2 linked regions of the Danio rerio genome follow. The protein of the gene in region 1 interacts with the protein of each later gene in a pairwise test. Links are inferred from orthologs where the notes say so. Each region holds a gene or a part of one and is shown in the gene's direction. Other genes may lie near its edges. The genes, in order: clk2a and srrm1.

Region 1 (16,440 bases):
CTCTCTTCTTCTGCTTTTAGCATTCACTACATTTGCTCAGTCTGTAATTTGTGTCATCAGGACAAGAGAGCTCAGGCCCGAAGCGATGCTTTGCCATAAAGTCATTCCAGAGAAGAGTAAAACCACTAGAAAGCACTGAAGCACAGAAAGAAAAAACTAAAACTCCCAAAAACACACGCGGACTGTTCAACGATGAGGACGCTTGTTACATCATTGATGCTCGGCAAGAGGGAAACCTCGGCCGTTATATAAACGTAAGCAAAAGCCGGAATTGTTATCAAAATTGAACAATGCTTTAATGGTACTTTAATTTTAACATTTTTACAATTTCTCTCAACAGCATAGCTGCAGCCCCAATTTATTTGTCCAGAACGTCTTTGTGGACACACACGACCTCCGCTTTCCATGGGTGGCTTTCTTTGCTAGCAAGTCAGTGTCTTAATTCTCACCAATCTGATTTTCATGTGAAAAGGGTGTAGATAAATCAGCCGTCCTTAAAAATGAGTGTTTGATTTGAGAACAGCATTTCATATAACATTAGTAAGTTAAAGAAATTTTGACACAATCAGGGGTGCGTTTCCCAAACAAAGACTTTAGTGTGTTTGACAAAATCATAGTTTCTCTGTTGCTGGTCCATCGTTTGAACCACGTTAGTTATAAGGTAAAACGTCCAAAAAGACGCTTTAAACGGGGCGGAGTCAGGGCCGGAGTGGGAATCCTTTTCAGCCCTGGAGTTTTAAGCCTTAGACCGGCCCACCTCAGTTCACCACTGACTATATTAAAATAACAGCATTTCCAATTCATTTCTTATGACACTGTCACGTCTTTTTTCAAGGACACAGCTGCTTTAGAACTTAAATGTTTTTCATAAATATGAGAACATTAAAGGGTAGCTAAATCTCCAACACTCCAATACTGTTCTCTCCTGCAATATCTGAATATATATTCTGTGCAGAATTTTTTTAGATATCCAGTCCTTTGTAACGGTGATCACACAAAAAATTCAAATAAAATATGTACACCTATGTCTTAACTCTAAACATAGAAAAAAAAAAAAAACTTGGGTGAGGATCAAATTGGGATCGGCAGCACTGAACACTGGACCACAATGGCGCTGTTACTCAAGTGCATTTGGAAGAAAAAATAAGTATTGCACCGTCATCTGCAAGACTCTTTTAACCACAGTATTACTTTCTATTGATGGTTTAATCTTTCTCCCCTTTTAATATTTCTGATCAAGTTATGTCAGATTTATTAGTGTAGTGAATCATCTGATTTTCATTGAGCAGGTGTAATATTCATTAATATTAATTATTCGAATTCTTCTATTCACCAAGGTGCCGCAGTTTAGGGTTGAATAATACATGATACATCATCAGTAACCTGCAGGCTGCATTTTGCCCACGAACTACGAGAAAATAAATAAAAAGAGCAAAGATGTGGCAAAGTAATGAAAAAAAAGAGTGTGGCTATGGTCAAATAAATAAATGAAAAAGTGCGACTGCTGACAGTGCAAGCAGCTAGGGACACTGGCCCTCGCGGTCAAAAATTGGCCCGGCCCACCAGGAATTCTCCCGGTCCTCTCGATTAGCCAATCCTTGCCTGGGTGGAGGAACAACTTCTTTGGAGAAAATCCCAATAAATGTTTTGTGTCTTTTACACACACAGGCATAAAATAATATCCAGTATTAGTTTTAGTAAAAACATACACTCGTTTTCCATAATAATTGAAATGTATGTAAATGGCACATACAGGGCGCATGTTTCCTTTACAAAGATAATTGAGAACATCACATATTCTATTCTTAAACATAAAATCATTTACAAAAGCTAACATATTATAATCTCATATATAAATAATCACGTTAAAGGCTTTAATTTATAGTAGGTTATTTATTAAGAAATAAAAAAACAATATCCTACTTAATATTAATAATGATAACAATAATATATTCTGTGTTCAAAATGGCATAAATGATTTTAAAGTGCACTACAAAAGGAACACAAATGACAGTATGAAGATCGCTTTATTTAATCATTTCACGTTTATATGTTGGAATGTTCTAAATGAATAGGGCTTAGTGGTGGAACTGGGAGTAGAACACAACCGGAACTATGCTTCTAACTACAGCTCGAGAGGTGTATTTGCAAATGTACAAGTTTGTGACGCAGTTTGCAAATGTATGTGTGAACGATGGATTTGGGAAAACCAAATCAGCAAACTATGTTTGTAATGATGGATCTTGCGACCTTAGTTGGCTATTGATGATTTTCTGAAACGCACCCTAGGATGTACAGTGCTCGGTGTAAATGATTACACCCCATTTTGAAAATGAATGTTTTTATCCATTTCTCAGTGAAAATAGGTCATATATTATGGTACTTTTGAACAAAGCTGATTTTTTAAAACGGATATATTTATTCAAATTAATATTTTTGTCACCGAACATCTTTAGAAATAGAAAAATTATTTAAATTAATGTGAAATATTGCTAATTACAAACTACAAAATGTCAACAATTTCCATATGTTTTTGTTTCTTTTTGATTTTTGCTCTTTTTCTTATAACATCAATTTGAACTACCTATTTTTAGACCATTTTCATAAGTTATTTTGTTTGATAAACTCCAGATTTAGCTTCAGTACTGACTAATCTAATGTATATATACAAATATATTGTTGTAAATTAGGGGTCACCAATCTTGTTCCTGGAGGTCCGGTGCGCTGCAGGGTTTAGCTCCAACTTGTCTCAACACACCTGCCTGGGTGTTTCAAGTATACCTAGTAAGACCTTGATTAGCTTGTTCAGGTGTGTTTGATTAGGGTTGGAGCTAAAATCTGCAGGACACCGGCCCTCCAGGAACAAGTTTAGTGATCCCTGCTGTAAAGCATCCTATGGAAAATATTAATTTAAAAGAGAGATTTGTGAAGAGTGTAGGGTTAGATGTAGAATTGGCCACTCGTGTTTATAGAAAGAGCAAGAGACACCAATTTGTGACTTGTGTAAAAATAACTATTTATATTAACTTTTTAATAGTGTATATTTATTTCTATTATATATATTCTATTATATTTCTTTGTTTTTAAAGTGTATTTGTGTAGCTATTATAGAGAATGTTTTGTTTGGAAATTATCTTAAGGGAAATGTTTTCAGGAACAGCTGTAGAATATCACGGACTCCATTGAAAGATCGTATATGATTGTTTATCAGTATTATTGTCATTTGTACATTTTCTTTATATTTAAATAATTCTTGTTAATTAAGAAACTGTTATGTTTGTAAATGATGTATTGACTGTTAATATCAATGTTTCGATGCATTTAGCCGATGTCACTAATAAGGCATTAAAACAAACAATAAATAAAGCGTATAGCACAATCTAATGTATAAAGTATTAATGATCTGAATTGTTAGCCATATATTATTGGTCATATAGAGGATTATTTGACGTGTTTTAAATGCATTTTTTGTTCCATCTCTCTTTACCAGGCGCATAAAGGCAGGTACAGAGTTGACGTGGGATTATAACTATGAAGTGGGCAGTGTGGAGGGAAAGGTGCTGCTCTGCTGCTGTGGCTCATTGCGCTGCACTGGAAGACTGCTCTGAAAATCAAACACTTTAACTCGTTTGTTATAGACTGCTTCACCAGCCAATCTGAAATAGTAACGGCGCTGTTCATAGGAGCGTCCTCGTCACATGAACCCAGTGAATACGAAAAGCATAGTAAAATTTATTAAAGTTTGTGTTGTTGCGTTTGTTTTTATTGTTTTTAATGTATACAGCAAATATGAATACTCTCAATGTAGTCAACGATGTAAATAAAATGTGGAAATATTCAAACTATTCTTCTTGTTTATTTGATCAAATATGTGCGGAAACCTTGGTGATTATGAATGATATCTTAAAGCAGGGGTGGCCAGCCCTGTTCCTGGAGAGCCACCTTCCTGCAGATTTCAGTTGCAACTCATATCAAACACACCTGCCTGTAATTATCACGTGGTGTTCAGGTCCTAATTAATTGATTCAGGTGTGTTTGATATGGGTAGCAACTGAAATCTGCTGGAAGGTGGCTCTCCAGGAACAGGGCTGGCCACCCCTGTCTTAAATGATGATTACGGTTATTTTTCTGTAGTTTTTTATTGTGGTAACTATTGTTGTTGTATTTGGTTAACTGAACAATAAGTGATGGAGAAAGTTACCTCATTGCATTACTTTTGTGATACTTTTTATTACCTAGAACTTTCTCTTTTTTAATACAGGAGTTCTGCAATTATAAAAATACACATTTATAAAAATCTTTCAAAGATAGTAGAAAAGCCTCTTGAGAAATTAAATAACTGTTCATATTACAAGAACCTCACAAGGGAAGTAACAAAATTTCGAATCCTAGTCCTGTGTTAAATTTTAAATTCATACCATTAAAGTCGAACCGTCGATTTAGAGTGCCAAGTTTTAATAAAGTGAAATTTAAAAAGTCATTTGCACATCAGGCTGTCTTGGAGCAGAATAATGTCTGTGTAAAATTAATATTATTTTTTTTTGTATGTTTTTAAGGTATTTATCATGCTGCTATGCAAGTCTGACAATAAGGTTTTGTATTATTATTATTGTATAAAACGCACACTATATAACTTACACCTCCATTTACCTTTAAATAAACATCAAAAAAATATTTTAGGATAATGTTATCTTAGAATTTCATGACCTCAGAGCTCTACATGCTGTACTGATTATTGAAAGTTTAGCTTATGTCCTTGCTACTTCAGCATTGTTTGTCTTAAATAAAATCCCTTTCTATTGGGACAATTCCCTTTTCCTTTTCTTCCAAGCATTCAAAATAATGAACACGTTCTATAATCGACTGCGTAATTCATTGTGAATTCTTTAATTTTAATTCAGCAATTTATTTTTAAAAAACGAATTCAACTAAAAACTAAGTCAAATATTATTACTCATTTTTTAAAGGTAATGCGTAGGGCCAGACAGAATCTGCAGACATTTTTTGCTATTTCTGCAGAGAATTTTGTAAAAAAAAAAAAATGGATTCATGCGGAATTATTTTGAAAGAATTATAACTAAAACTTTATATATGAAATAAAAAATAACACATTTTAAACTTTTAGTGAATGTGTACAATGCAAATCCAATTAGATCCAATTTATTTGGAAATCAAAGGCAGTCTCTTATATAATACATCTACTAAAAGAAAGAAAATATTACCTCACAAACTATATTGTACATAAATTACATCAACATTTTCATATTAGTCAATAATATTACTGAAATTAATTTAAAAACTGAATAAATATAAATTTACACACATATACGCAAGTAAATAAACAGAATCAATAATGGAAAAAGGATAGATAGACCTAAGGCAGTAATATAGGCTACGTTTTAATAGTAATAACAATATGCAGTTTCGATATTAAGAATTTTATTAACGAGGGTAATGCATACCGCTTATTAATGCAGACGGATCATGGATTCAGTGCCAAACGAGTGCTTTAAATCATATGTTGTTCTCCTTGTTTCCGTTTTATTTCAAATAACAGACCTATGAATGCTTAAAGTTTTAGGTAAAGACGTCAAATTATGCCCACACATGCAAGCTGACGCACGATCAGACATTTCATTTAACCGGTAAATAAATATAGTGAAATCAGCTTAACCGAGTCATCCCGCTTCACGTAGCCTATTACCCAACCAACATCAGTGTTAGGGAAAAGCTAATCTAATGTCATTTAAAATAATTATTTAGTTAATTTTTGAGGCATTACTGTAGCCAGAAAAATACCTAAAAAAGATACCAAAATTCCCATGTTATTACCGTGAAAATTGGTTAAATTTTGGCACGGATAACACGCAACTCAATATGCTATAGAACTTTTTTTTCATCATTTAAAATTTAAAAACAAAGATTTATCTTAGGCTATAAGTGTGCTTTTTTCGTGATATTGTAAACCATCATAAACCATTAGGTTACTAGGCCTACCCGTCATTTTATTAAATTATTAATTATTTTATTTATTAAGCCTTTTTTTAATAGCTTGTTTTCAGGTTATTTTCATTTTAGGGCCATGAGCTACAAGTCAAAACAAACTCGATATGTTGTATTTAGCTCCTAAAATAGATCTACAATATATTTTATGTTGTTTAATTTTGCATGAGCAAATTAAGCACTACACCTATTCCATTTATAACACTGCAAACTTGACTTCGCAGGCTGATCATCTTTAAACGCAAAAGGCATTTATTTTGTGTTATACCTTGACTGCTGCTGCATAATGGGATGTTTCTCTACACAACTGTAAAAGTGCGCTTTTTAGCAAAATGAAAGCAAACATTCAAAGGGTTCTGCGTTTTGTCAATTTTCGCTTAATTATAATAATATTAATAATAATATTAATAAATAAATTAAAGTATTATTTATAGTGTAGCCTACTGTGGGACTGTGCCGTAAACTATTTATTTTTATTAAAACATTTTTATTAGGCTACATCTTCCCGAATAGAACGGGGTCTCTGGACTATAGGACTAGCTTTAATCTCACCATTCTCATAATTCAATTGCTGTGTCATATATTTAAAAATATTTAAATGTGTGTTCTGAAGGTTGGAACGACGTGGGTGTTAATAATTAATGACAGAAAGAATTTTCAGTTTGAGTGAACAATCCTTTATAAAAACTGGGGCACAAACTCACTCTTTCTGAAGGGGCAAAGCCCCCCCCCCAAAATGCTGCTAAATGCTGCATTGTGTAACAATGGTACAGGTACACAGACGGTACTGCTACATCATAGTTGCCTAAATATGATTCTGAAATCCCAGCAAGACTCTCAAAGAGCGTAAAAGAGTAATAAGAGTTGAGCATGATGTGACGTGAATACTAGTTAGCTACCATAGAAATATACATTGGATGTCGCCTACCCTGATGTTGTCTATTCGAAGGAATGCGTCAATAGAGCCGCCATTTCAGTACAGAGTAGCGCTCGTTTGAAATGAACGCTCCTTTTAATTGAGCGTCATCTAGCGGTCACATAATCTAATGATTAAATATTATGACAACTTGTTCAACTTCTTTTATAAATATATATAACTTGATATTACTTTTCTTTTCACCACAACACTGTTCTTTTTCACAAGACAAAATTTTGTTGCTGGAAACTGCATTTTATGTACTTAAATTAGACTTTTGCATTAAAAGTCATTAAAAAACTCCCTATGATGTATGTAGCCTATACGTGCTGTAGTCAACCTTAATCCTACTGTAGGTTGCCATAAAACCAAAACAACACCCATTCTTGTCTTAGGACATTTTATTAAGCATATTTTAAAATAACAGTAAGTTCATGACATGTTAAATATATAGTATAATTTGCTGGTTTTAATCATACAGAATAATATTAAATATAGTTATGAAATAACCGTAACATAACCCTTATGTCTTAGGATATGTTTGATTAACTTTTTATTACCTACATAAATTGTTGACTAATGAAGGTACATTTATAACAACCATTTATTTGTTAGACTGTATTGTCAAACCATGTTGCATACAAATGCATTCAACAGACTTACATGACAGTGCATGGCTTTAGAGGACAAATAAAACACGAGACAGCTGTTTAGAAAGAGTATCGTTTATTTAGTTTGACATGCAAACAAGACAAACTTTCAGAAAACAACCCGGAAACATTATAACGCACGCGCTCGTGAATATAACCCGCGGTTGTCTTCAACTGTTGTCTTCAATAGTCCTTCTTTGCTCAACAGCTTAGCTGAAAAACAAAGCAAAACATTACAACAGTCTGACAAAGTGCAAAGAGCATAGAATCACCAAGAGGCGACACTCTACAATTTGGGAAACAATAACGCGCTTTTTGAATAAATTAAATATAAACAAAGCAGCTGCTGTCCATCGCGACAGCAATGAGATCCAATGCACGGCCGATCGCTTTCACTTCAAAAAGGCGGAATCCGGGGCTGTTGCTCTTGGTCATTCTAAGCTCTTTGCATAAAGTTTAATCATAACAGTTACCATGGTGTCTATTTCAAACTATAGTAAACTAAAGTTTGAAACTATAGTTTAAAATAGACGATGAGTGGGCCTCGCTACTCCCACCCACCATAACCCTCGCAGCGAGGTCCCACTACCGGCCCCCCGTGTTTCCCTGAGGGTCCTCGGGGGTTGTTTGTTCCCTGCCTAGGGCTCAAAGGCCGCCTCGCCCCAGGGAGTGCACGAGAAAACCGGGCGCCAGGCCGTGCCAGTATTCACTGGATGTTGCTCGGCGGCACATTTCGAGCAACAAACACGTAATCTTCCTTGCGATATTGCGTTTATGTACGCAAACCACAAGGAACTACAGCACAGACGGGCCCGAGTGAAGCTTCACGAAGCGGACTTCGTGAGATTGGCGTGGCTCCACTCGTACCGTCGGTATTGAACTCACCTTGGTCAAGTACAAACAGCAACACCGAGCGAACTGACAACGCTGACAGAGAGCACACGAGCTTTATAGGAATGCAGATGCAAATTTTTACAAGGCACGTCACTGCTATCTCGTTGTCATGGCTAGCGCTGAAGAGGGCTCACCTGATTGGAGCACAGACTCGGGAATCTGCGTCACGGCGAGTTGCCGTCTGCCGTACACAAAAATATATTAAATATATTCAGTATATATATATTTTTACATTTTTGGTGCTGTGTAATATTCTGAGATGCAGCAAAATATGGAGACAGATGAATATAATTGGGTATATGCCGAGCTAGTGTTGTTCCCATATACTTATATACTTCCGGTGACCGGTTATTGTGAGTTTTTTTTTTTCAATTTTTTCCGGTTCCTTTTACAGCACTCATGTTGTAATGTAATTAAAATACATTCAGTTAAATAAACTTTGGCATTCATTTAGTTGTTCAAGCGTAAAACGAGACAAAAGGCCTTTTACTCGCACTCGCCCGTCAGAATCGGCAGGATAGCGCAGTCGCTCCAATGCTAATATTATAAAGACATGGCGGGGAAAATGTAATTTAATGCAGTGCTTCTAGTACAATCTGAGGCCCACTTCATATCTGATATCACTCAGCCAGTGGAGATCGCTGATTTTTAAAGAAAACAGACCTTAAAAACGTGCAGATTTTTCCGTTGGCATACAGTTCGCCGGAAGCGCTTAACCCAGGTTACTTGGGAAATTAAAAGTCCTATTAGCATGCTTCAGCATGTACCCTAAAATCCCAGAATGTCTTTCGAAAAAGAGTACGGGTTTAACCCCGGCATCCTGGCCAAATTTACCCACTGGCCTCTGTCCATCATGGCCTCCTAACCATCCCCATATCATAATTGGCTTTATTACTCTTTCTTCTCTCTCTGTGGTGTGCGGTCTGGTGGAATATGGAACTCATGAGACTGTTCATACTGTCCGAGTTGACGGTGAAAGTGATGCGCGCGCGCGTATAGGTATAAAGACGCGTCGGGAGGAGGGGCCGGAAGTGTTTTTTTCTTCACCGTTTAATAATTAGACTTGAGTGAGAATTTGGGATCCGAAGCGTCAACACGGATTTTCTTTGGGATAAACGGACAGGGCTGGCTGCACAAACGGTGATTACGAATCATTATTTCGCTGTCTGTCACTTTCCCCTTCAAATATTCAGGAGCGTTTTAGAGAAACGGTCCGTTGAAGATTAGAAGATCTCAAAATGGCCGTCGACGAGGATAGCAGCTAACTCTGCTAAAAAAACATCACATTTAGCTGCCGTTTTCAAACGTTGCGACATCATCTTGTGCGTCGTGTTTGCACCAAAAACGACAGTTCACATTTATGCCATAGAGACGAGTGATACATGGCGACTTTACGTTAAATGAACGAGCATAAAAATAGCGATTAGAAATAACAAGTTAAGCCAGCGTTAGTTGGTTAGCTTACCTTGTCTTTACAGCAGTTTTCAGTCATAATTCGCTGGACACACTTCTACATGTTATTACACTTCTGTTTTTTTTTAAGACATCGTTATTTCACAGTTAAAAGCATTTGCGTGTTACCGCTGTGTCTGTGGTTTTTTGGCTAAATATAGAAGTGTGCTCTAATAACTGGGACTTGATCTAGTTTGCGGCTAATTTCACAGGCAAACGCAGCATTTCAAAGTGCTGTAAGTTAACGTTATGTCATCTAGCTTTCAGATTATTTGTTTGAATTCTTCGTTTCAAATCCTCTTCTGGTTCGGCTAAATGTTTATTTTTTAAATCTAATTAATTTTGATTTTTTTAACTCAAAATTATTTTCTATTGCTTTACTATATTATTTATATATATATATATATATATATATATATATATATATATATATATATATATATTATATTATATTATATATGTTTACTAATGTGTATAAAGATCCTGATAAAATCTAAAACTGGTCTGTATAATATTTTTGATGTGTAGTATTCAATGTTTTGCAGACCTGAGGCGTCTTTTTTTCAGTTTTTAAGCACTGCATGGCAGTAACAAAGTGCCATCCATGCAAAAAATATAAATATAAAAAACAATATAAATAGTAATGTGGTGTTTTTCATTCTCATGCTAATGTCTAAGCCTGTGCCAAGTGTCGTCTTAACACCTGCTTTATCATGTCCCAAATAACTCCCCACAAATGTCACACTTGTCCTAAATTCAATAATAGTGAAAATAAAATACAGAAGATACCTCCCCACGCCCCCATGTCTATTGTTTCTGTTAAAAAGTTTTTCATTAATTCATTTTCTTGTCTGCTTAGTCCCTTTATTAATCCGGGGTCGCCACAGCGGAATGAACCGCCAAATTATCCAGCAAGTTTTTACGCAGCGAATGCCCTTCCAGCCACAACCCATCTCTGGGAAACATCCACACACACATTCACACACACACACACACTCATACACTACGAACAGAAACGCCAGCTGAGCCGAGGCTCGAACCAGCGAACTTCTTGCTGTGAGGCAACAGCACTACCTACTGCGCCACTGCTTCACCCTGTTAAAAGGCTAGGTTACCCCAAATTGAGAATCCTGTTATCGTTTACTTCTCCAAACCTGTTTGACTTTCCTCTGTTGAACACAAAAGAAAATATTTTGAAGACAGATAAAAACCTGTAACCCTTTACTTTCATTGTACTTGTGTTTCCTGCTATGCAAGTCAGTGGTCACAGGTTTTCAGCTTTTTTTTCAACAGTGGAAACTCATAAAAACCACTTAAGTGTGAGTAAATGTACATTTTTCTGATCTCTTTAATGACAGGGCTAGATAATTTGTTAGATATCAGTTTGAAAAAATAGAATTAGTAATAATAATTAGTTGAAAATTATTTTTTATTTAAAAAAAGTTCGGAATTGATGAGACGTCGCATTTTGGTGTTTACAACAATTAATCTAAATCTTTCTTGTTTTACTCATATATTGACGTTCTATCGTAACTGATATATTGATTTAAATAAAAATAAAAAAAACATTATGCTTGTTCTTATCTGTACTTATGGAAAATTGTAATTTAGGTATTATACAAAAGTTTATATTTTAAGTGATTTTTTTTATTTGACATGGTTGAAATAAAACAAATTACATTTTTAATACATCCTCATCCTGTATACACAAAGTTTTATGCATGTAATGTGCATATGGGCATTTTCACGAACAGGTAATGATTTATTAAAAGTTTCGTACAAAAATTAATTCTAAATCTATGAAGAAAAAACAAAAAATTAAGAACAACTTTTACCACTGGTATGTAACACAGCACTGCCTTTAGTATACAATGTTTGTTCCATTAGGTGCACAAAGTTCTCCAGAATGGTTCGGTAGTCCTTGGCAGTAACAGGCCCATCTAGCATGAGTATTGGGCATAGGGAATGCCATGACATTGCAGCCCAAACCATCACTGATCCACCCCATGCTTCACTCTGAGCATGCAGCAGTCTGGGTGGTGCACTTCTTTGGGGCTTCTCCACTCTGTAACTCTCTTGGATGTGGGAAAGAGAGTGATGATGGACTCATCAGAGAAAAATACATTTTCACATTGTCCACAGCTCAAAAGATTTTTGCTGTTGCAACTATTTAAATGCTTGTTTTACTTTTTTCTTTTGATTTTTTTTGAAAAAATTTATTAGTATTTTTTCCTTCTTCAACTCAAGCAGATGCCACACTCCAGGCGGTATCCGTCCTCGGAGAGGGCCAGCCGCAGCAGCTACCAAGATCGATATAGAGAGCGGGACAGAGACAGAGATCGAGGAAGAAAACCTCGACATCGCCGCTCTCCAACCTATTCTTCCAGCAGTGAACGTGAGAGGAGAGCGAGAGGACACAGACAGGACACCGGCTATGCCAGATCCAGGAGGTATAAACATTTCCATTGAGTAGTGCTGGAAAACAAACAACCTGGTTCACCAGTTTATTATTATTATAGAGCTTAAAAGTCCACTCACTAACAGGAAGGCCTAATCTCAATTCTACCCCTTAGCCCTTCCCCTTGTCCCAATTCTTTTTAGCTTAGAGGCGTAGGGCTAATCGCAAGGGGTAGATACCCCTTAGAATGAAGATTTTTCAAGACCACGCTCGAAACCAAGAGGTCAGAAAATTTCCCAGAATACACCAGCCATAGTTGCACCCGGAAGTAAGGAGATCCACAAATTATTTTTATTGTCATTATTACAACTTTTTACAACAAACAAGCATGTTTTTATATATTTATAACCGCGTTTGTTTTACCGTCATGCTTTTAAAAAAACCTGTTAAAATAAAAAACGCTAAATTTTACGATCTATAATCGCTAATAATAACTCCTGTACAGCAGTTCCACAACATTTTGACACCTGATGAGACTCGAATACCCTGTCAGTAAGGTCTAGTGGCTGGAAATGAGCTTTTTACAGTGTCTGCTATAGTGTTAATGTTGTTTTGCTGTGTGTTTACATACAGTAGATGAATATGGCCACGGTGTAAATGCACAGTATATTTATCATCTTATTGCCACATTAGATCATTATGAGAACATATTTATCTTCAGGAAGTCACTGAAGGCATATATTATCAAAAAAATAAATAAATAACACAACTGGAATAACTACAGCTGATTGTCTGATCTTATATAAAGCATGAGATCGCGATGACGTGTGCAGGTGCTGTCCCAATTCTTAAGGGTACATTTGGAAGCCCTTCCCCTTAACACTCTGTTTTAAGGGCCAAGCGGGAGGGCTACAAAAATATAATTGGGATTGGGCGTAATTGAGCAGATTTTTCAAGTAATATGGTTGCCGTCTGTCCTAACCTCCAAACTCATCAGTTTAGTTGTACTGTAAATGAAAATTGGGTAATGATGCTTTTTTTCAGTGAAAATTGCAATACTAATATTTTCTTGATTTGATTTCATAAATCATTTCTAGTAAATAATTTAACAAATGTTAAGCTACAAAAATGTCTTAAGCATATTCAGCATATTAGAATAGTTTCTGAGGGTCATGTGACACTGAAGTTATACTTCGGTTTTTCATTACAAAAATAATTTGCTATAATATTTATAATATAATCATAAAATAGCATAATATTGCAGATTGTACTGTATTATATTTATATTGTATTGAAATTATAGTCATGTTATTATATAACCACAGCTCTGCAAACAAGAACAGCAAAGATTATCTATTTATTTATTTTTAGACAAAATAATTGCCTTCCACTAATTATGCATCCACACATTCAGTATCAGTAATATCTACTAATGCATAATAGTGTTATTGCAATTTAAGGGCGCACTTGCACTATGCTGTCCGAACCATTCCCAGGCCCGTTTTCCAGATCGTTTGAGAAGTGTGAGTGCTCTGAATTGGGGTCAGGCACGGTTCAGTTGGCTGGCCCTGGCCTGGTTGGAAGGTTTGCCAGAGTGCGGTTCACTTTGGCTTCGGCGTGGTACACTTGTAGTGTGAGTGCAAAGCGCGCTTGAGCCCGAAACTGAAGACGAGTCGTGACTTTTATGGGAGTCTTTCATGTGTTTATTAATCATTCTCACTGTTCAATGAACGCAAACAGACGTAGATTATTAAAGATGCAAAACCCTCACTGCATGATAGCTGTACCTTCAGCAAACCTAAATCCTGCAGCACGAGGACTTTGATTGTTTATGAGCCTCACAAGTGGCTGATCTGTTTGGTGAAATATTTGACTGTCACTGGAATCTCAAACAACTAATACGATATAACCAACGAAATCTCCACTATGCTGAGCGAGAGTGCTTCTTATTAAACAGCGCTTCAGTGATGGTGTAAACGTGCTCAGGTGTGAATGCAATGCGAGTGCTTCGGCCCAGTTTCAAGGCAACTGTACATAGGGTATACTTTCTTTACATAGGGTACACCCCTATACACTTTCCCATGAAAGTGCTTTGAATTGTGAAGTTTTATTTAATGTTTGACGTAATCTCAACAGAAAAATGGAGGGTGGGACAGACTATTCCCTCCCATTTTTAAAATACAGCCAATAGCATTTTGTATCACAGATCCGCTGGTGAGTGGTTGAGCTCAAGCGCATCAAATAAAAAGTATCTTGAAGGGGGCGGGGCATGTCAGATACTAGAGAGCATTTGATTGGTCAGAAGATTTAATGAGAATCTAAATTATAAAGTGACGTGAAAAAAAGTGATTGATCCATTTAGACGTAAGTGACAAACTGCACACTTTAAGTGTTTATATCTTCGAAGTGCTAATATTGTCTATTTTGTAGCACACTAGCTTGTAGATATCCTAAAAACTAACATACTGACAATACAACATCTAAAAAAAAAAAAAAGATTTGAATTTCAGGAGACCTTTAATGACTTTAATTTAAATTGTATTGCAAATGTTTTTGTCTGCTATACCTGATCAACAACTTATTAGGAGTTTAGCATTTTATCAGAGGTGCATCTGATTTCAGAGCTCTCTTTCATCTTCTCCTCAGCTACGACAACCGTTCTTCAGACCGCAGGCCATACGACAGACACTACGGCGAGAGCTACCGGCGCTTGGACCACAGCAGGGAACGGGACAGGGATCAAAACAGGGATCACCGGACGCCGAGCAACTACTACTCTCGCGACGCCTCGCCCAGCTACGACTTTCGCCGGGGACGCGACCGGGACCGCGAGGACTCATACCGGAGGAAAGGCAGCAGGCGTAAGCACAAACGAAGGCGGCGTAGAACCAGGTCCTATAGCGCATCCTCCTCGGTGAGTACTTCAATACCCAAGCCTGCTCTTTCCCTCCCCAAATCCCTTCTTCTCTCTCCACCTCTACACGCTCCTGTCTCTCTTTCCCCATAACGCTGTTCTTTTCCACAGCCCCAGGATTTGGTAAGTATGAACTCCTTTGTTTTATGTTCTTCTTTTTGTTGATGTTTTGTCTTTTTTTAAATAGTGATAGTCCATATGTTGGCTTTCAGTGTTTTATAATGGAATTGGCCTTGTGTTTAACAAATTAATGTAAGGCTCACATTAATCACTGTAGATTTTATTCTAAATATGAATAGTAATGCTTTTATTGCAAGAGCCTCTTTAATTATGTTATAAATCTCATCCATTCTCTATCTACACACTAGGAATGCTCCGATCGATCAGCCAAAGATCACTATCTGCCGATAATTACATTTCGTGACTTAATCTCAATTCATTAATTAAAAGAAACTATTCAAAAATACACAACAAATTTTTAAATATAAAAACTATTTAAAAATATGCTAATTTGATTCATAAATTCAAAACATGATTACAAATACACAAATTTTTAAATGTAAAAAATTTGTAAGTTCAAAACACAATTCGTAAATATGCAAATCCAATTTGTAAGTTCAAAACACAATCCATAAATATGCAAATACAATTCGTAAGTTCAAAACACGATTCATAAAAATACAAATCCAGTTCGTAAGTTCAGAACACGCTTCATAAATATGCAAATCCAATTCGTAAGTTCAAAACACGATTAATAAATTTGCAAGTCCAATTTGTAAGTTAAAAACACAATTCATAATTATGCAAATTTAATTCGTAAGTTCAAAACACTATTCAGAAATATCCAAATGCAATTCGTGAGTTTAAAGCAATTCATAAATATGCAAATCTAGTTCGTAATTTCAAAATATGATTAATAAATATGCAAATCCAATTCGTAACTTCAAAACATGATTAATAAATATGCAAATCCGATTTATAAGTTCAAAACACGATTCATAAATGCACAAATACAATTTGTGAGTTCAAAACACGATTCATAAATACACAAATACAATTTGTGAGTTCAAAACACGATTCATAAATGCACGAATCCAATTCATTTAGTGAAAATCTATATGATTTTTACTTGTGAATCTGCAAACTGTTTACAGATGTACAAATTGGATTTTGTGAATTGTGCTGTGCATGTATGAATTATTATTATTATTAT
Region 2 (16,414 bases), on another chromosome or scaffold:
GACTAGAGGTTTGGTTACTGCAGGGCTTTCAGTCCAAATTCTCTTAAAGTTCAAGGGCCCCCTACACACAGTAATACTGGTAATTTCTTATTAATCAGAAATGAGCTCAAAATCGCAGCACTTATATTTGTAAACATGGTGTAAACGCGGTAAGTCTTTTTTCTGTTTCAAGCTTTCGCATTCACGCAGCTGCTTTTGCCCTAGAGATGTCAAAATTGAGAACTACAAACCAAAATACTGAAATATAGGAGAAACAAATATAATAAATCATAAATTTTCTGGAATGGACCATTTTCAAAAGATTCAATGGTGCATTTAACAGTCATCTGCATCTTAATTCCTTGAAAGTTTTTACTATTTTCATTTTTAAAAAAACATGAACATTTACATACACTCACTGGCCACTTTATTAGGTACACCTTACTAGTACCAGGTTGGACCCCCTTTTGCCTTCAGAACTGCCTTTATGGCACAGATTCAACAAGGCACTGGAAATATTCCCCAGAGATTTCAGTCCAGATTGACATGATAGCATCACGCAGTTGCTGCAGATTTGTCAGTTGCATATCCATGATGCGAATCTCCCATTCCGCCACATCCCAAAGGTGTTCGTTTGGATTGAGAACTGCTGACTGTAGAGGCCATTTGAGTCCAGTGAACTCATTGTCATGTTCAAGAAACCAGTCTAAGATGATTCACGCTTTATAACATGGTGTGTTATCCTGCTGAAAGTAGACATCTGAGGATGGGTCCACTGTGGTCATAAAGGGATGGACATGGTCAGCAACAATACACAGGTAGGCTTTGGTGGAAAATATCCTATATTAAAATATTGTCCAACTTTGGTAAGCCTGCCCTGCACAAATTGTAGCCTCGTTTCCTGTTCTTGGCAGACAGGAGTGCCGCCCGATGTGGCCCTCTGCTGCTGCAGCCCATAAAGTTATTGAGTGGTTATTTGAGTTACTGTTGCCTTTCTATCAGCTGGAACCAGTCTGACCATTCTCCTCTGACCTGTGGCATCAACAAGGCATTTGCATTCACAGAACTACCGCTCACTGGATATTTTCTCTTTTTCAGACCATTCTCTGTAAAACCTAGAGATGGTTGTGTAAAAATCCCAGTAGATCAGCAGTTTCTGAAATACTCAGACCAGCTTGTCTGGCACCAACAACCATGCCACATTCAAAGTCGCTCAAATCATCTTTCTTCCCCATTCTGATGCTTGGTTTCAACTGCAGAAGATTTTATTGACCACAGCTACATGTCTAAATGCATTGAGTTGCTGCCATGTGATTGGCTGATTAGAAGTTTGTGATATTGAGCAGTTGTGGTCGGCAATTATATTTATGTATGTATTATGTCATGTTTGCATCAAATTACTAAAAACAAATGACAGATTATGTGAGCCGTTTGAACTGCAGGACTGTTATTAGTCTTGCAAAATTGTATTATTTTTTTGCTTTTTCTGAATGTCTTGATAACACCATCATGGAGTTTTTCTTTAGCAAACAGAGTAAAATTATTTGTTATACTCTCCCATTCACTGCACTTAAAGTTTACATAACTATGAAGGCTTCCACTACTGAGAAAAAAAAAGGGTATGCCAATACATATCGTAAAGCGTTAAACTTATTGCCCCGTGGGATTCTCTGCATTAATCTGTGCTCTCTTGTATTTGTCTGTTCTGGACAACCAGCCTTGTAGAGACTTGAATGAGCAAGTGATACTTTTTAAGATGCAATATTCTAGAAATCTGCCAGTGAGAGTGAGCTCAAGTGTATCAAATGAAAAGCTTAGGAGAAGCATCTTGAAGGGAGCGGGGCTGTCAGGCACTGGAGAGCATTTGATTGGTCAAGCTTTGATAAGCAAATGAAATATGAGGTGATGTGAAAAGAAAAAAACAATGATCCATTTAGACGGAAGTGATAAACTGCAAGCTTTACATGTTTTTGCCAGTTTTGTATCTCCTAAACGTGAATTTTAACACTGTTTTAGTGCACACCAGCATACAGATGTTCTTAAAACTAACAGACTGAAAATACATCTACACATTTTTATTTTTATTTTATGGGAACTTTAGGGAAATGATAACAAATAGCCAGATTAATACCTATAACAGGGATTGTATGTGGAAGAGTTCTCTAATTTTGATCAGTTTTCTTTTTTAGAATGTTTATGTAATTTAGCATCTCAGAAGTACAACTATACAAATATAAAAGCCTTGATAACTGCAATAATTAACATGCTCATAAAGTGTTATGTTCATTCTGTAGCAGACAGCTGGCCAGTGCGGTTTGATGATTCTAATGCTCGTCAGGATTGGGGCTGGAAGCCTGCATTCAGTCTGTCAGAGCTGGTCACAGACATGCTGGCCTCCATCCGCGAAAAGAGAACCAATGCTGGACTACCTGTCAGCTAGCAGGTCTTCTCAGGGACTGACTGAAACACAGATCACCAGCATTTGCAAACTCTCCTCGTCTCAAATTTGGGAGTTGATTCTTTGGACCACATTCCGTCAGTCAGAGAGCTGCTAATACAGGCAGTTCTCTACAAACATATGCTTGTGAAGAAAACATGTAATTCAACAGCGAAAGCTTACATTCTCTCATACTGCTCAGGAGACTCTGTCTATCTTCTCTGTGATCTACTCTTACAGTACATAGTTTTTAAGTTGTTGGGGGGAAAAAGAAACGACAAATGCAAATGGATATGATGACGATGATGAACATGATAGCAATATTAATGCAATGATATTACTCTATGTACTAGACATAGTTAGCAAGGTCAGCACTGAAAAACATTCTGGCCCCAGTTTTCACCTTCAGGACTCTTATAGTTCTGATGTTATAATCAAAATACAACTTTTCTGGAAAGGAATGAATGGCCCAGAGATGCTACATTTGCACAAATGCAGTAAAACCTTTAGATATCTTTCACTCTACAGTGCTCCAGACCATGTATTGTGTGCAAGATGTAAACAGTCCACCTCGATTTGAACACATTCATGGGTAGAAGAAGCTTTAAACCACTACTAGCTTTAGCGTGAATCAAGGAAAAAATCAATATTGCCTTTGTTCCAGCTGCTATCTGTGAGAATTTCACAGTTGCCTGAATTTTGGGTTCTGTTCAGCCCATTATGATCTGTAATGGCTTTATTTATTTAGAGTCAGCTATCGAAGGGCTCTGGATTCACAATGTATAGTGTGGTGGTGTGAACTAAGTACTTAATCTATCAGCGCTGCTGATGTATTATTTATACACTGTGAAGTGAAATGTATTTTTTACATTTCTGTTTACTCATAAGAGCAACACTGCTGGCTTAAACACCAGCAGAGGCCTCACCATTTAAGGGAGTGTTTTTTTTTATTCAGCCTGTCTGAAAGTCTCCCTTCTATAGAAGGAATTGTGATTTCTGGACAAAAGATATTGTGTTAAACCGCCTTAATGTTCAGTTATCACTCAACCTCACAAGTTGCTAATGATTCTCATTCAGAACTGGAAAGATGCAGTGTATGTCAAATAAACGACTTTAAAGCAGCACACCGTCTATGTCTTTTGTCATTATGGGTTTTAAAATTAATTAAAAAAAGATGGATCTATGAGGCAATGTTTATCACATTTTATTTTTCCAAGAAGTCTCAAATACTTACTGCAATGAATTAAATGTATTGGAAAACAGCCTTAACAAAGAAGACCATATGCTAAAAAAAGTACACCAAAAAGTTGTACAAAAGATATGGAAGTGTTTTGCTTACAAAAATTAATTCAAATGTTCAAACGATCAAATAATATAAGCAATATTATTATTATTCAAATAATTTTCTTAAAAGCTCAAATAATAAAGCAAATTTTCCAAAACTCTAACAGAATTTACAATGCTACTTTAATGCTTACTTTAATTTCCGTATAATGGAAATAGTGTTGGTTTTAAATGAATCTGTAGTGTGAGTTTCTGCTGAGTTCCATTGTTGGCAAGATAAGTACTTTGAATTTGGGGGAAAATGTACATAAGATAAATCCTAAATGAATATGTCCCAAAACTCGTTTTTAAACCACATAAGAAGGCCTACTGGTTTGTTAATAGCATGTATAGTGGAAACCAACTCCTGTAAAGTTAATGGTTTACATTACAATGTTTGCTAGTTCTTCAGCACTGTAACTAAATAAGTTTTATATTACATTATCATTGAAATATCGTAAAACTAATTTTTATAAAAATCTTATTTTAAAATAATGAAATTAAAGACCGTCTCTAGGCACATGACTGCTCAACTTCCGGAAGTGAGGTCAGAGAGCTATCGTGTCGCAGTGGATTGTGGGACATCGTGCCATATTGACACACGACAGAAATGGACGCGGGTTTTTTCCGCGTAAGTGTTATATTCTTTTACAAATTATGCTCTATAAACATCGAGTGTGTTGTTATGCATCTATTGTTTATCAATTGTTTGACCGGCTCGTTGTTTTAAGGATATTTTATATGTGTTCATTGGAGTGTGGCTGTAATGGCGGCTGCGTGAGGTAACCAGAAAATACCGCACAGATTAACAGGAACAGCAGATTTGAAGACATAGGCGCGTTTAATTACCTATTATCACAATTGTTGTTACAAATAAACTCAAATGTAACGTTAAAAAAAGTCAGCGGTTCTGGGATTAGCGATGTTACGCATGTGTAATACAGACTGAAACCGAAATTAAGTGGTCCTGTGCTACGACGTTAGCCTAATAATCTGTGTAACGTTAGTCTAGTTTTTGCGTATATACATGATTACTCATATCCCACTGAAAGGGTGAAATAATACTACTCGCATTTCTTTTGCCTCGGCCTTTCAATGGAAGAAAAGTAACCATATGAATTTTTTGTTCCTGTTTTCTCGAAGCACGTTTTGTTTTAATGATGCGTTTCTATGATTTCAGGGCACCAGTGCGGAGCAGGATAACCGCTTCAGCAACAAACACAAGAAACTCTTGAAGCAGCTGAAGTTTGCAGAATGTCTGGAGAAAAAGGTAGAAAAAGTTAAACATAATTATACTTGGATTCACAAACGATGCATTAAGTGACAGTAAAAACATCTATAATGTTACAAAATCGTTGATACATTAGTAACTATTAGTGACGTGTAGTTTAAGAGCCCTGACCAGATGGGATTTAAACTTCACTGTAACGTTAGTTGTTTAGTTTAAAGCCTGGAAAGTATCATATCTAAATGTTCTCTTAACATTACATTAAGAGTGTTCTCAATAAATAACTAAATTGTAAATCTTTTTTTTTTTTTTTTTGCAAAGTCTGAAAATTGTTCAAGGTTATTACACAGTGCATATTCCAACCAACAGGTCGTCCTAGGTCTGAAAAGTGGTGTAATTATAAATTGTGTACATTAGGGCTGCACCATATTGGAAAATTCTGATATTGCGATATTTTATTTTTCTGTGATAAATATTGCAATATTAATAGTTTCACCAGGTGGTTTGAATATCTCTATATGATTTCTGGGTATTCAGAAATAATCCCTGTTATAAACAGTATTCAGGTACAGAAATTGACTAATCGCAATGCAAAAAAAAAATCTTTTTTGTTTTGATATTTCATTCTTAGATCAAATAACAATATTAGTCAGCACCAATAGTCTAGTGGATAAGCGTGCCGACATAAAACGCCAAGGTGCTCACAGCGATCTGAGTGCGATTTTCTAACCCTTCCCCTCTCTTTGCTCCCAATGCCTTCCTGTTTGCATCCACCACTGTCCTTTCCAATTTAAGGTGGAGAAACCCTTAAAAATACTTATTTAAAGAAGCTATATTTTTTTTAACCTTCAGAAGAAAAAAAGCTAAATAATGAAAAATAGGTTTTTCTTAAAAACAAAAAAAACCAATTATCTTCCAGTGGAGAAAAATAATCTTGTTTTTGCTTTGAAATGTAGATATTTGTATTAAAAACGAGACAAACAATCTAAAAAAAACTGTTTTTTTTATACATCGGATAAGTTTTATATAAATAGAGTGATTAAATACAATTCTGTAGCTCCTGCCAACTATAATTCAGACTCAACTATGCATATCTTGCAATGTGACTATTGCAGATGCACACATTAGAGATGCGCGGATGGACTATTATTTCATCCGCAACCGCATGACAAAATTCATCATCCGTCCGCCATCCATCCGCACTAACATTTTTGACCAATTTTTAAAACCGCACCCGCCCGCCATCTGCTGATTGGGCTCTTTATTTGAATGGCTTATTCCTTTTTTTATTAAATGAATGTTTCTTCATTGATCATTATATAATAGAGAATGACTTTAATGTAGACATGCAGCTAATCCAAACGTGCAAGTCATTAATTGACGACGCTTTGAAGTTACGCTAAAGATACGAGGACGTGTCTTTTCACTTGATTCGATTCCTCGGTCCTTCAGTCTTTTCCTTGCGTCCTTCCCTCGTAACGTTATCCCGGTGGGGTGGAAACACGAGGAAAGAAAGCAAGGAAAGGAAACGAGGATGCACAAATAAGAAATGAGAAGCACCCGAGCTCTCAGAATATCAGCAGTGAACTCTGTCTCCAATCGGCGCACAGGGACAAAAGTAAATAAATAGCCTAAATTAAACGCACTGTACTGTACAACTTTTTTTTTTTTATTGTAGCCTAATAGAAAACGCATTGACACATCATTTCAACATGCTGCTATTTAGTCTACTACTAAATGCCTATTTCACTTAATTTTTTAGTAAATAGATAGAATAAGTCATTTGCATTATAGCCTAATAATGTTTACATTTGTAGTTGTCCATAGCAACCCCAAAAATGTACCTGCTTGCCTTCCACATATAATTAATGGGCACAGTTTTTCGACTATTTTTTATTTTTTGCTTTGGATGTTATTGAGCTTGTAGAAATCGGAAACAACACAGTTCTGCGACACAGATTAACCTTTATTGATATCTCTATCAGACAATACCTATTTTATATGCCAAAAGAAACAACAGGCAGTAAAAAAAAAATAACATAAATATCTTAATGTAGGCATAGGCTATTGTCGCATGCTTTGACAAACAGTTGAAAATTTTTTAATAAAAACGTCATATTGTGCCTAAGCCTTGTAGGCTCAGTCACCCCCACAATTAGAAATTAAATTAGAAAAATAGATATGCCATTCCTCTTTGAGCGAACCTGACAAGGCTAAGTGCATGTATGACAAGTGCCCCAATAACCCATGGACTTAGGATCATCCCCATTCCCCTCAAACTTGAAGCATAACGAAATACTACGCCATTAAATTTGCGACAGAAATTCTGGCAAAATAACCTTAGCCTCGGAACGTAAAAGCGAGGCCAACATGTCTAGAATAGAATAGGCTAAACCAATATGAACGTAAAATTATCAGCTGACCAAACTCAAAAGTTTATATTGAACATATGTGCAGCCTAAATAACATAGGCTAATTGGTTTAATATGCCTGACCTTAGGTCTAGTTTGATTTTTTCTTGGCACAATGCAGGAATAAAATGGCATCTACAGTGTCAGGATTCAGACGGGAGTGCCTGCATAGCCACTGCGCCCTGCTGCACTGAAGGAGCACTCGCTCGCAGCACTTGTTGCTGAAATGCATAGAATTCTCTTGGAAAGGTGCTGTAGTCATGGGAATGCCTGGCCTTATTTCTCCCAAAAGGAAAGTAGATTTTCCTATGCTGATCCGTCTATACGGAAGTTTGTAGAGGAATACTTTTGTACACTACATCCAGAATTAATGTATCCGATTCCTCCTCCCATTCTGTGAAGTCAGTCCTAGGCTTTTTCGTTGGTGCGCCAGCTATGAATATAAAAACAGTACAACCGCCCGCCACCCGCCCGAATTTAATTAAAATATTATTTTTTCGTAACGTCATCCGCCCGATCCGCGGTTTATCCGCGGAGTCCGCGGCTATAACCGCCAACCGCGCATCTCTGGCACACATTGCAATATCGAAGCTGAAACTATATATTGTGCAGCCCTAGTGTACATGTAAAAACACATTTTATAGCAGTGAAAACGGGGCTTCTTTTTCTGCAAGTAATATTTAGAAGAACTAAAAATTTAGGTATTTATACAAAGTAATTTTGCAAAGCAAATCATCATTTTAGGTTATTTCTGATTTGTAATTTGACAATAAACCATTTTTAGCTCAATACAAGTAAAGATCCTGTAATTATGATTATTTTATGATGTGGTTTTAGGTGGATATGACCAAGGTCAACCTGGAAGTCATCAAGCCCTGGATAACCCAGCGTGTGACAGAGATACTTGGCTTCGAGGATGATGTGGTCATTGAATTTGTCTTTAACCAGCTGGAGGAAAAGGTAGACCCCCACCTTGCTCTTCCCGCTCTTGTTTTATTTTTTTATACACATGCTGCAGTCTATATTAGATGTGTTGTGCTTTGGAAAGAAGAGAAGGTTTGAAGATCAATGAATAACCGCTGACAGTTATTTGAAACATTTGTCATGTGAAGATGTAACAGCAGAAACATCTAACATCACAGTGTTAAACTGTCTGCCTGATTTAAAAAAAGACAGAAAAGGGGGTAAAAAGATATATTTCTCTCTGAAGAAATGATTTGTGACACCGTTCCTTCTGAACAGCAATGTTCTAATGTTGATGTGATTTATGATTTAAAAGGCCTGAACCAATATGGATCTTATTCCTTGCATCTGAAGTATAGCACCAACTCCTAATTAGATCTCAACTGAGCCCAAAGTCTCTCTGAATCCAACTCTCCCTTGATGATGAGCTTTATTTTTTGAGGTGAGTTATGAGCAGGGCTTGACATTGTGCCAGTGGTAGAGTCATTTCAGCTTGATCATTTGTGCCTTTCTGTTTTAGTCAAAGTTTAGCAGTACATCTTAAACATAAAGGCCTGATTTATCACTTTTATGGAAATGAAAACTATTAAGGAATAAAATGAAAAGATGATTTTGCATGTAGGATGATAATGCAGTACAACATTGGTAGTGTAAGAGACTTGTTTTTTTTTTTTACTTGAGTCTCAGTTACTTGCTCATCTGTCAGTTATTAAAGACTTTGTTTTTTGTATGATTGTGCCTTTAAACAGTACGAAAAAAAGAGACGTGACCCTTTTTATCTGTTTTAGATAGGCTCTCTGTATTAGTTGCTATTTTAGTCTGTACAGATTTAATTTTCAGGAAGATTTTGCTGGGATTCCAGAGAGGTATTTGCTCTTATTTATAATACATTAAGGTGTTTCCTTAGTCTAAAACATACTTTTAATTTGTCATGGCATAGCCATATAGTAATTTGAAGAAATTCTTCAAGTTGAGCTTAATCAACAGTGTTTGTGGAATAATATGATATACCTAAGAGAATAATTTAGTCATCTTTTCTTTGTTAAAATAAAACATTTAATTACAGTTATTTGTAATTTAATTACAGCGATTATGACTGCCAGGATGAAAAGAATAAAAAGTTTGTTGAATCACTCTAAAATCAAAATCTTGAATAAACATTTTAACTTGCTAACAATTAATTAACTTTTTTTTTGTATAGTAAATATGCTCGCATATTTAAATGAAGGGTGCATTACTTGATTTTTTGCGATTGATTATTTTTGTCATAATTGTAATCACGATTATTCAAAATGATTACTGTTAAAGTCAAAATTATTAGTGCTCCTGTGAATTTTTTAAATAATTATTTCCCAAATTATGTTTAACAGAGCAAGGAATTTTAATAGTATTTTCTCTAATATTTTTTTCTTTTGGAGAAAGTCTTTTTATTTCAGCTAGAATAAAAGCAGGTTTAAATATTTTGAAACTTATTTTAAGGTCAATATTATAAGCCCCTTAAGGCAATGTATATTTTTTATTGTCTGCAGAAGAAACTACTGTTACACAATGACTTAACAATGACCCTAATTAAGCCTTCGAATCGCACTTTGAATCTGAATGCTTGTATTTTGAAAAATTTCTAGTCCAATATCATGTGCTGTCATCATAGCAAAAATAAAAGAAATCAGTTATTATAAATGAGTTATTAAAACTACTATGTTTAGAAATGTGTTTAAAAAAAATGTTTCCATTAAACAAAATTTGGGGGAAACGGGTTGCTAATATTCTGGAGGGCTAATAATTCTGACTTCAACAGTTATTTTCCTCCCTGCAAAGGTAAGAGAAATAAATACAATAAAATAACACTTAAGCTACAAAAGTCCTTCATTCAAGAGCAGTAAGGGATTTTCTCCTTTTTTTATTTGATTAATACTGATCGAAACAGGCGGTAGCAGAAATAGTGCGCTGTCACTTTAAAGGTTTCGCTTTTACGTTTCTTTTGATTCTCAACTCGTTTGTTTATTACACAAATGAGGGTTAATATGAATAATCACTAAACACCGCGTATGGACGCCTATTTGAAAATTAAAACGCTCACATTAATGACTTTAGATGTGCGCTCTGCTCGTCACCGTGTGCGAATGAGACCGAATGCTGACCGCATGCTTCTGACTGTGTGTGCTCGCTGCACACACACAAACAGGAGCATGCGGTTTAGTTCGTGCTTTTAAGAGCAACAAATGTTTACAACTGGAAAGGGGGCGGTAAATAATGTAATAATCGTTCATCTCGATTAATGGTTTTTCATAATTGTTGGAAGCCAAAATCGGATTTTCGATTAATTGCACAGCCCTACTGGATAATATTGTAGTATTTTATTAAAGAGCCTGCACCATAATTATATAAGATTTTCAAAATGTTTTTATGCAAGCGCACACAGAGATAACTGATATATATATCACTCTTCCTCGCATGGTTTCATTGTGCCAATATAAATTCATTGCTGTAGAATGCAAGTAAGTCAATACTTAAAAGTCTTTGGCATCTAAAAAAAGAAGTAAATGTTTCAATTATTCCACAGATCCTGTTGAGAGAGCTTGACCTGTATAAAGTCAGACACATTTGTATAGGCCTTATTTTAGAACAGCAGGTGCTCAGTCCTGCTCTTGAAGATCTACTTCATTGCAAACTTCTGCTCCAGCTCTTCTTAAAACCGAACTCTGGTGCACATCTTCAGGAGCACGATTTAGCACGTGTGTCTTAGTTAACGGGTCTAATAGGATTGATTTTCCTCTTCATTTTGTTGTTAATAAAACCTTTTCTATGCCTTGTGTACTCATTATTGCTTGTTCGTCTCTTGCAATTTAGATAAATGATATAGCATTAAACTCAAGGTGATTGAGTGTGATGCGGTAGTGAGGCGGAGGCCAGCCAATGGAGCGCCTTTCTCCGCCCCCCCAGCCCACAGAGCCTGCGCCACTCACACTGAAGACAACTGGACTGTTCTTGCTTTGTGGGGTTTTGATGCACTCTGTTTGTGGACTGTAATGTTTCTATCTCTCAGGAGTTTGATATTGCACAGGATGAGACAGCCATAGTGGTTGGGAGGGTCTTATTGCTCCTTGACGGGGGGATGTGAACTGGGAGGGTTCATCTCAGTTCAGATGATACCTTGTAAACTTGTAATGCATGCTCAGAGGGAGTTTATACACTTTAAAAGTGTTCTTGATTTTAACTTTTTTCATTCAATTGGTTTAAAAGTAAAAAAAATAAAAATAAATGCATAACATTCTGTTGTGGCTGTTGGTTATAGAAACCATTTTGAGGCCCGCAGGTACTGGGCTCTTGTTGAAAAGCAGCTGTTTACTGATGTTCAGGAAAGGAAGGTCTAGGTAGACTATCAGAATTCTGTGCTCTTGTTCGGTGTCAGTATTAACTGCTTGGTTTTCTCCCCTTCTCTCTTCCTCCCCTGCTTTTTGTGTTGCAGAATCCAGATGGAAAGATGATGCAGATTAATTTGACAGGTTTTCTGAATGGAAAGAATGCTCGGGAGTTCATGAAAGACCTCTGGCCACTGTTGTTAAGCGCCCAGGAGAACATTGCCGGTATCCCATCAGCCTTCCTGGAGCAGAAGAAAGAGGAGATCAAACAGAGACAGGTGATGAAGAACTGGGTCTGATCTCATTTGCTCATTTTTATTGGTTTTGTGTTAACTGATGTTGTAATTATACTAAAATTAAACTTTTCCTTCTGCTTGTTTCAGATTGAACAGGAGAAACTCGCCTCTCTAAAAAAAGTAGATGAAGATAAAAGGGAGAAGGAGAACAAAGAAAGAGCTCAGTCAAAAAGCCCTAAACGGTTGGTTTTGCTCTAGATCCTTATTCATTGATTTTTCCATTATTTTTCTATTGTTTTTGTGGTGTCAGAATTTGAATTCATAAAATAAATATTTATTCTTAAAAAAATCGCGACTAACAAATTGTCACAATTGTCTGTAAATGATATAAAATGTTGCATAACAATCAACCTTGTTCTAAATCGCGTTTTTTTTTTTCTGCTTCTCTTTTAATTGCAGGAGAAAGTCTCGCTCCCCTGTGAAGCGTGATCGTAAATCCAGTCCTTCTCGTTCTCGCTCTCCTCGACGAAAAATAAGCCCAGCCGCTTCACCACCTTCCAGTCCACCCAATCATAAAGAAGAACCGAAGCGAGAACCAGACCAGTCAGAGAGCTCCAAACCAGAGCCACTCATTCAGGAAGCTTCATCTACCAGGTGACTTTGGAAATCTGACATATTCTAGATTTTACTGCTTCAAGTTACCATTGTCCTCTTAAATGCTTAAGAAAACAGATTCAGATTCATATGCAAGTTTCACTTTCAATCTAAAAGAATGACCTAAAAATTGCAGAATTTTGGTAGCATTGTGGATTTCCAGACTGATATAATAAACTGTCATTTTCATCTGTTAGTGATCTTGTGACTGAAATGAAGCCGGACTCAGTGTCAGAGCCTGTGAAAGAGTCCTCTCCAGACAAAACGTCAAAATCAGAGGACCGGCCTAAACCCAGGGACAGGGAGAAGGATGGGCGCAAAGATCGTCCACGCCACCGCTCTCGTTCTCGATCACCTCGCTCACGCAGACGACCTCGATCCCGCTCTAGGTGAGAAATGTTATTTGAAGTCGCATTATTTTTTTTTCTTAGATTTTATTTTTGTTTACCTGCTAATGTGATTTATGGGTTAAATAATATCTCTACTTGTAGGTCATTCTCTCCTCGCCGGAGAACGAGTCCCAGAAGGCGAATCTCTCCGAGACGGAGGAGTCCTCCTAGACGCCAGCCTCCCTCTAGACATAGACGTAGCCGCTCACCTGTTCGCAGGTAAGTCTCCCTCTCTCACTTTTTTTTTCAGCAATATTTTATTCAGCAAGGATCCATTCATCAAATAGTAATAGTGAAGACCATTAAAAAAACTTGATTCAAATAAATGCTGTTCTTCTGAATTTTTCATTTGAAAAAAGTGTCCAGAAAAAAAACAAGCAACAAGGATGATTTATAATGAAATGCAGTATTTCTTCATAGCCAAATAATCATATTAAAATTATTTCTATTGAAACCTGAGATACTGAATACTAATGTTAAAATATGACTGACTAGGGCCAGACAGAATCTGCAAACATTTTTTGCAATTTCTGCTTAGAATTTAGTAAAAACAAAAATCGAAGTATTTTTGAGGAATGATTTTAGGAGTATCGTAACTAAAAACTTAATATATGAAATAAAAAAATACTTTTTATTTAATGCTTACCTTACAAATCCAATTAGATCCAATTATTTAGTAAACAAAGCAAGTCTCTTGTATATCTCTACTAAAAGACAGAAAATATTAATTTACAAACTATATTGTCAATAAATCCTATGGACGTTTTAATATGTTACTGTTATTATATTTCAGTAATTAGTGAAATTATTTAAAAACTAAATAAATACAAATTTACACTCACTTTCACAAGTAATTAAATGGACATGATGGACTGAAAATCTGGAAATCTGCAGATTTCTGTGGCGCAGATTTTGTGTGGGCCTACTAATGGCTGTTAAAAAAAATGCTAAATTGGCTAATGTTAAAAAAGAAGCTCAAATTATTTAAATGCTACTGTTAAGTCCTATCGAATTAACACTGAATTTTGTAACAATTTGTATTTTCAATCATATATATATATATATATATATATATATATATATATATATATATATATATATATATATATATATATATATATATATATATATATAATTTTATTTTATTTATTTTTTTTTTTTGTCATCTGCATCTCAACTACCGAATTTCACCTATACTTTATTGGTCCACCAGGCGGCGGTCTCGCTCCCGCTCCTCCTCAGGCAGCTCCTCCTCTCGGTCGCCCCACAAGAGAGCAGGAAAACGAGGGTCAGCGACCCCACCCAGAAAACTTGCACGTCGCACGGACCTCTCCAGCCCCCCAAGAAGACGAGGCCGCAGTCCTTCAGGACCAGACACCAGCCCTTCAGGTACATCATAGAATGCAATTCTTTTTATTTAAAATGGCTTAAATGAAAATAAATGACCTGTGGTTATAGATTGTGTACATTGTTGTGTAAATCTGAAGCGTTCATTGTCATGTTGAGTATAGTATATTTTTGGCAGTAAAGTGATTCTGACTGTAATGCATCTAAAAATTTCAGCTGTGAAGCACAGGCCTGGTGGAAGAAATGACTCTCGCTCTCCCTCTCCAAAACCCAGGCGATCTGATGCATCAGATTCAGGTGAGGCTTGGCTCTTCAAGCTTGCAGATTGAAATGAATATCATTATAGAAGCTGGCAGGTTGTCAAAAAGTCTCTCTGGCTTTTAAACTAGAAAAACTGTTACGTATGGAAAACTTATTGTATAGCAACTCTTGTGGTACAAGTTTCTTATGGCGGCTTCAAAGATTAAGAAGGTGGTGCATGTAACAGGTGTTTGGCTGTGCTTTTGTATATCATTGGTGTGTGTTTTTGGGCATGAGGCTGTTTCTTGGGCACTGAAGGACTTTGCTTTGCGTTTCAGAGGAGGATAAGTTGGGCAAAGGGTCAACAGCAGATTCTGTCCAGCAGCGACGTCAGTATCGCAGACAAAATCAGCAATCCTCTTCAGGTTACCACCTTTTAAAATTTACTTCACACTTATTTGTCCTCTTTCCTTCTCTCTCTGACTCTCTCTATCCTCCTTCTCAGACCTGTACATGCACCTAGGAGTTGTGTGGATATTATATGCTAGTACTTGTTTCAATTTGTTGTCATGTTGGGTTTATTTTTACTTAGACACAGGTTCATCCTCTTCATCTGAAGATGAAGGTCCAAGGAGGCAGAATAGAGGTGCAGGTGCCAGGAATGGTGAAATCAGGAGGAGACGGAGTCATTCACCTGCATCACCACGGAGGCGGCACAGAGATGCATCCCCAAGGTACAAGTCAACAATGTTTGCATGTGCTTTACATCTGTGTTTGACATACAATACCCCTAAAAGGTCAATCTACTCGGTCAATCTACTTTTTACCCCTTTTGGGTAAAAAAAAAAAAAACCTTTATTAGTCCTAATGTATGTCCATCCAAATTGAATGTGGCACTAAAAAGGCTGTGTAGAGAAAAGCATTATTAATAATGAGAAACTTTAACCCCTACCGCTTATGTTATAAGCTATTAAACGTGAAGTATGTAGATTATCAACATGCAAGTTTTTAGTGGATCGATAATGCAATGCAGCCAGTGAAGTTGTGACATTTTACATTTACTTTTCCTCATTCCAAAGCCTCCCAAAACTTGCTAATCTTTTAAACAAATGGAGTTTATTCTAAAAAAAAAAAAAAAGTAGATGTCCTTGTATCCTGGTATGAAAATCTTGTCTTATCCTTCAGAAAAAGACGTTCTCCGTCACCTCCTGGACGTAGACATCGTTCACAATCTCCTGTTCGCCGCCGCAGGTCACCCTCTCCTCCCCCAAGACGCAGGTAAGGTTCAGCTGAGTTCTTGAGCTCTTCTGGATTTGGTTTGAAATGCATCTTGCTTTGAGTCTTCTTTCTTCTCTCCTTCCGGTCTCAGGTCTCCATCTCCACCTCCCCGGCGATTTACTCCCCCAATTCAGCGTCGATACAGTCCCCCCTCCCCTTCTCCAGCCCAAAAGAGACGGTCATCAGGGTCTCCCCCCAAACGAAGAAGGTCTCCTTCACCCATGCCCAAGCGTAGAATACCTCCTTCACCTCCCCCCAAACGCAGAATGTCTCCATCACCTCCCCCCAAACGCAGAAAGTCTCCATCACCGATGTCAAAACGCAGAACATCTCCATCGGTGTCAAAACGTAGAACATCGCCTTCCCCTGTGGCTAAACACAGAAGGTCTCCATCACCCATGTCTAAACGTAGAACATGTGCTTCACCTGTGTCTAAACGCAGAAATTCTCCCTCACCTGCCCCGCAACGTAGAAGTTCTCCTTCTCCCATGCCCAAGCATAGAGGGTCACCTTCCCCTGTGACTAAACGTCACACCTCTCGATCCCCCAAAAGGAGTCGTGGCACCA

What was found.
Region 2: the proteins of clk2a (region 1) and srrm1 interact in binary tests that used the Homo sapiens proteins (3 or more experiments, as listed by UniProt). The two-hybrid records come from large-scale screens. The link is inferred for Danio rerio from reciprocal best matches to the Homo sapiens genes CLK2 and SRRM1.

What each region holds. Positions count from the first base shown.
Region 1 is NC_133194.1:10,201,430-10,217,869, forward strand, and holds the start of clk2a (dual specificity protein kinase CLK2), read left to right. Parts: upstream 1-9,490; 5' UTR 9,491-9,603; intron 9,604-11,378; exon of another isoform or gene 11,379-11,669; intron 11,670-11,802; exon of another isoform or gene 11,803-12,165; coding exon 12,166-12,365; intron 12,366-14,959; coding exon 14,960-15,227; intron 15,228-16,440. Other genes in the region: setdb1a (histone-lysine N-methyltransferase SETDB1-A), read left to right, coding at 61-254, 341-429, 3,491-3,608. UniProt on the Homo sapiens protein: Dual specificity kinase acting on both serine/threonine and tyrosine-containing substrates. Phosphorylates serine- and arginine-rich (SR) proteins of the spliceosomal complex.
Region 2 is NC_133192.1:26,815,714-26,832,127, forward strand, and holds the start of srrm1 (serine/arginine repetitive matrix protein 1), read left to right. Parts: upstream 1-8,652; 5' UTR 8,653-8,783; intron 8,784-11,810; coding exon of another isoform or gene 11,811-11,825; coding exon 11,826-11,981; intron 11,982-12,086; coding exon 12,087-12,181; intron 12,182-12,398; coding exon 12,399-12,593; intron 12,594-12,790; coding exon 12,791-12,982; intron 12,983-13,084; coding exon 13,085-13,201; intron 13,202-14,195; coding exon 14,196-14,371; intron 14,372-14,545; coding exon 14,546-14,626; intron 14,627-14,907; coding exon 14,908-14,994; intron 14,995-15,161; coding exon 15,162-15,303; intron 15,304-15,754; coding exon 15,755-15,847; intron 15,848-15,938; coding exon 15,939-16,414. UniProt on the Homo sapiens protein: Part of pre- and post-splicing multiprotein mRNP complexes. As a component of the minor spliceosome, involved in the splicing of U12-type introns in pre-mRNAs. Involved in numerous pre-mRNA processing events.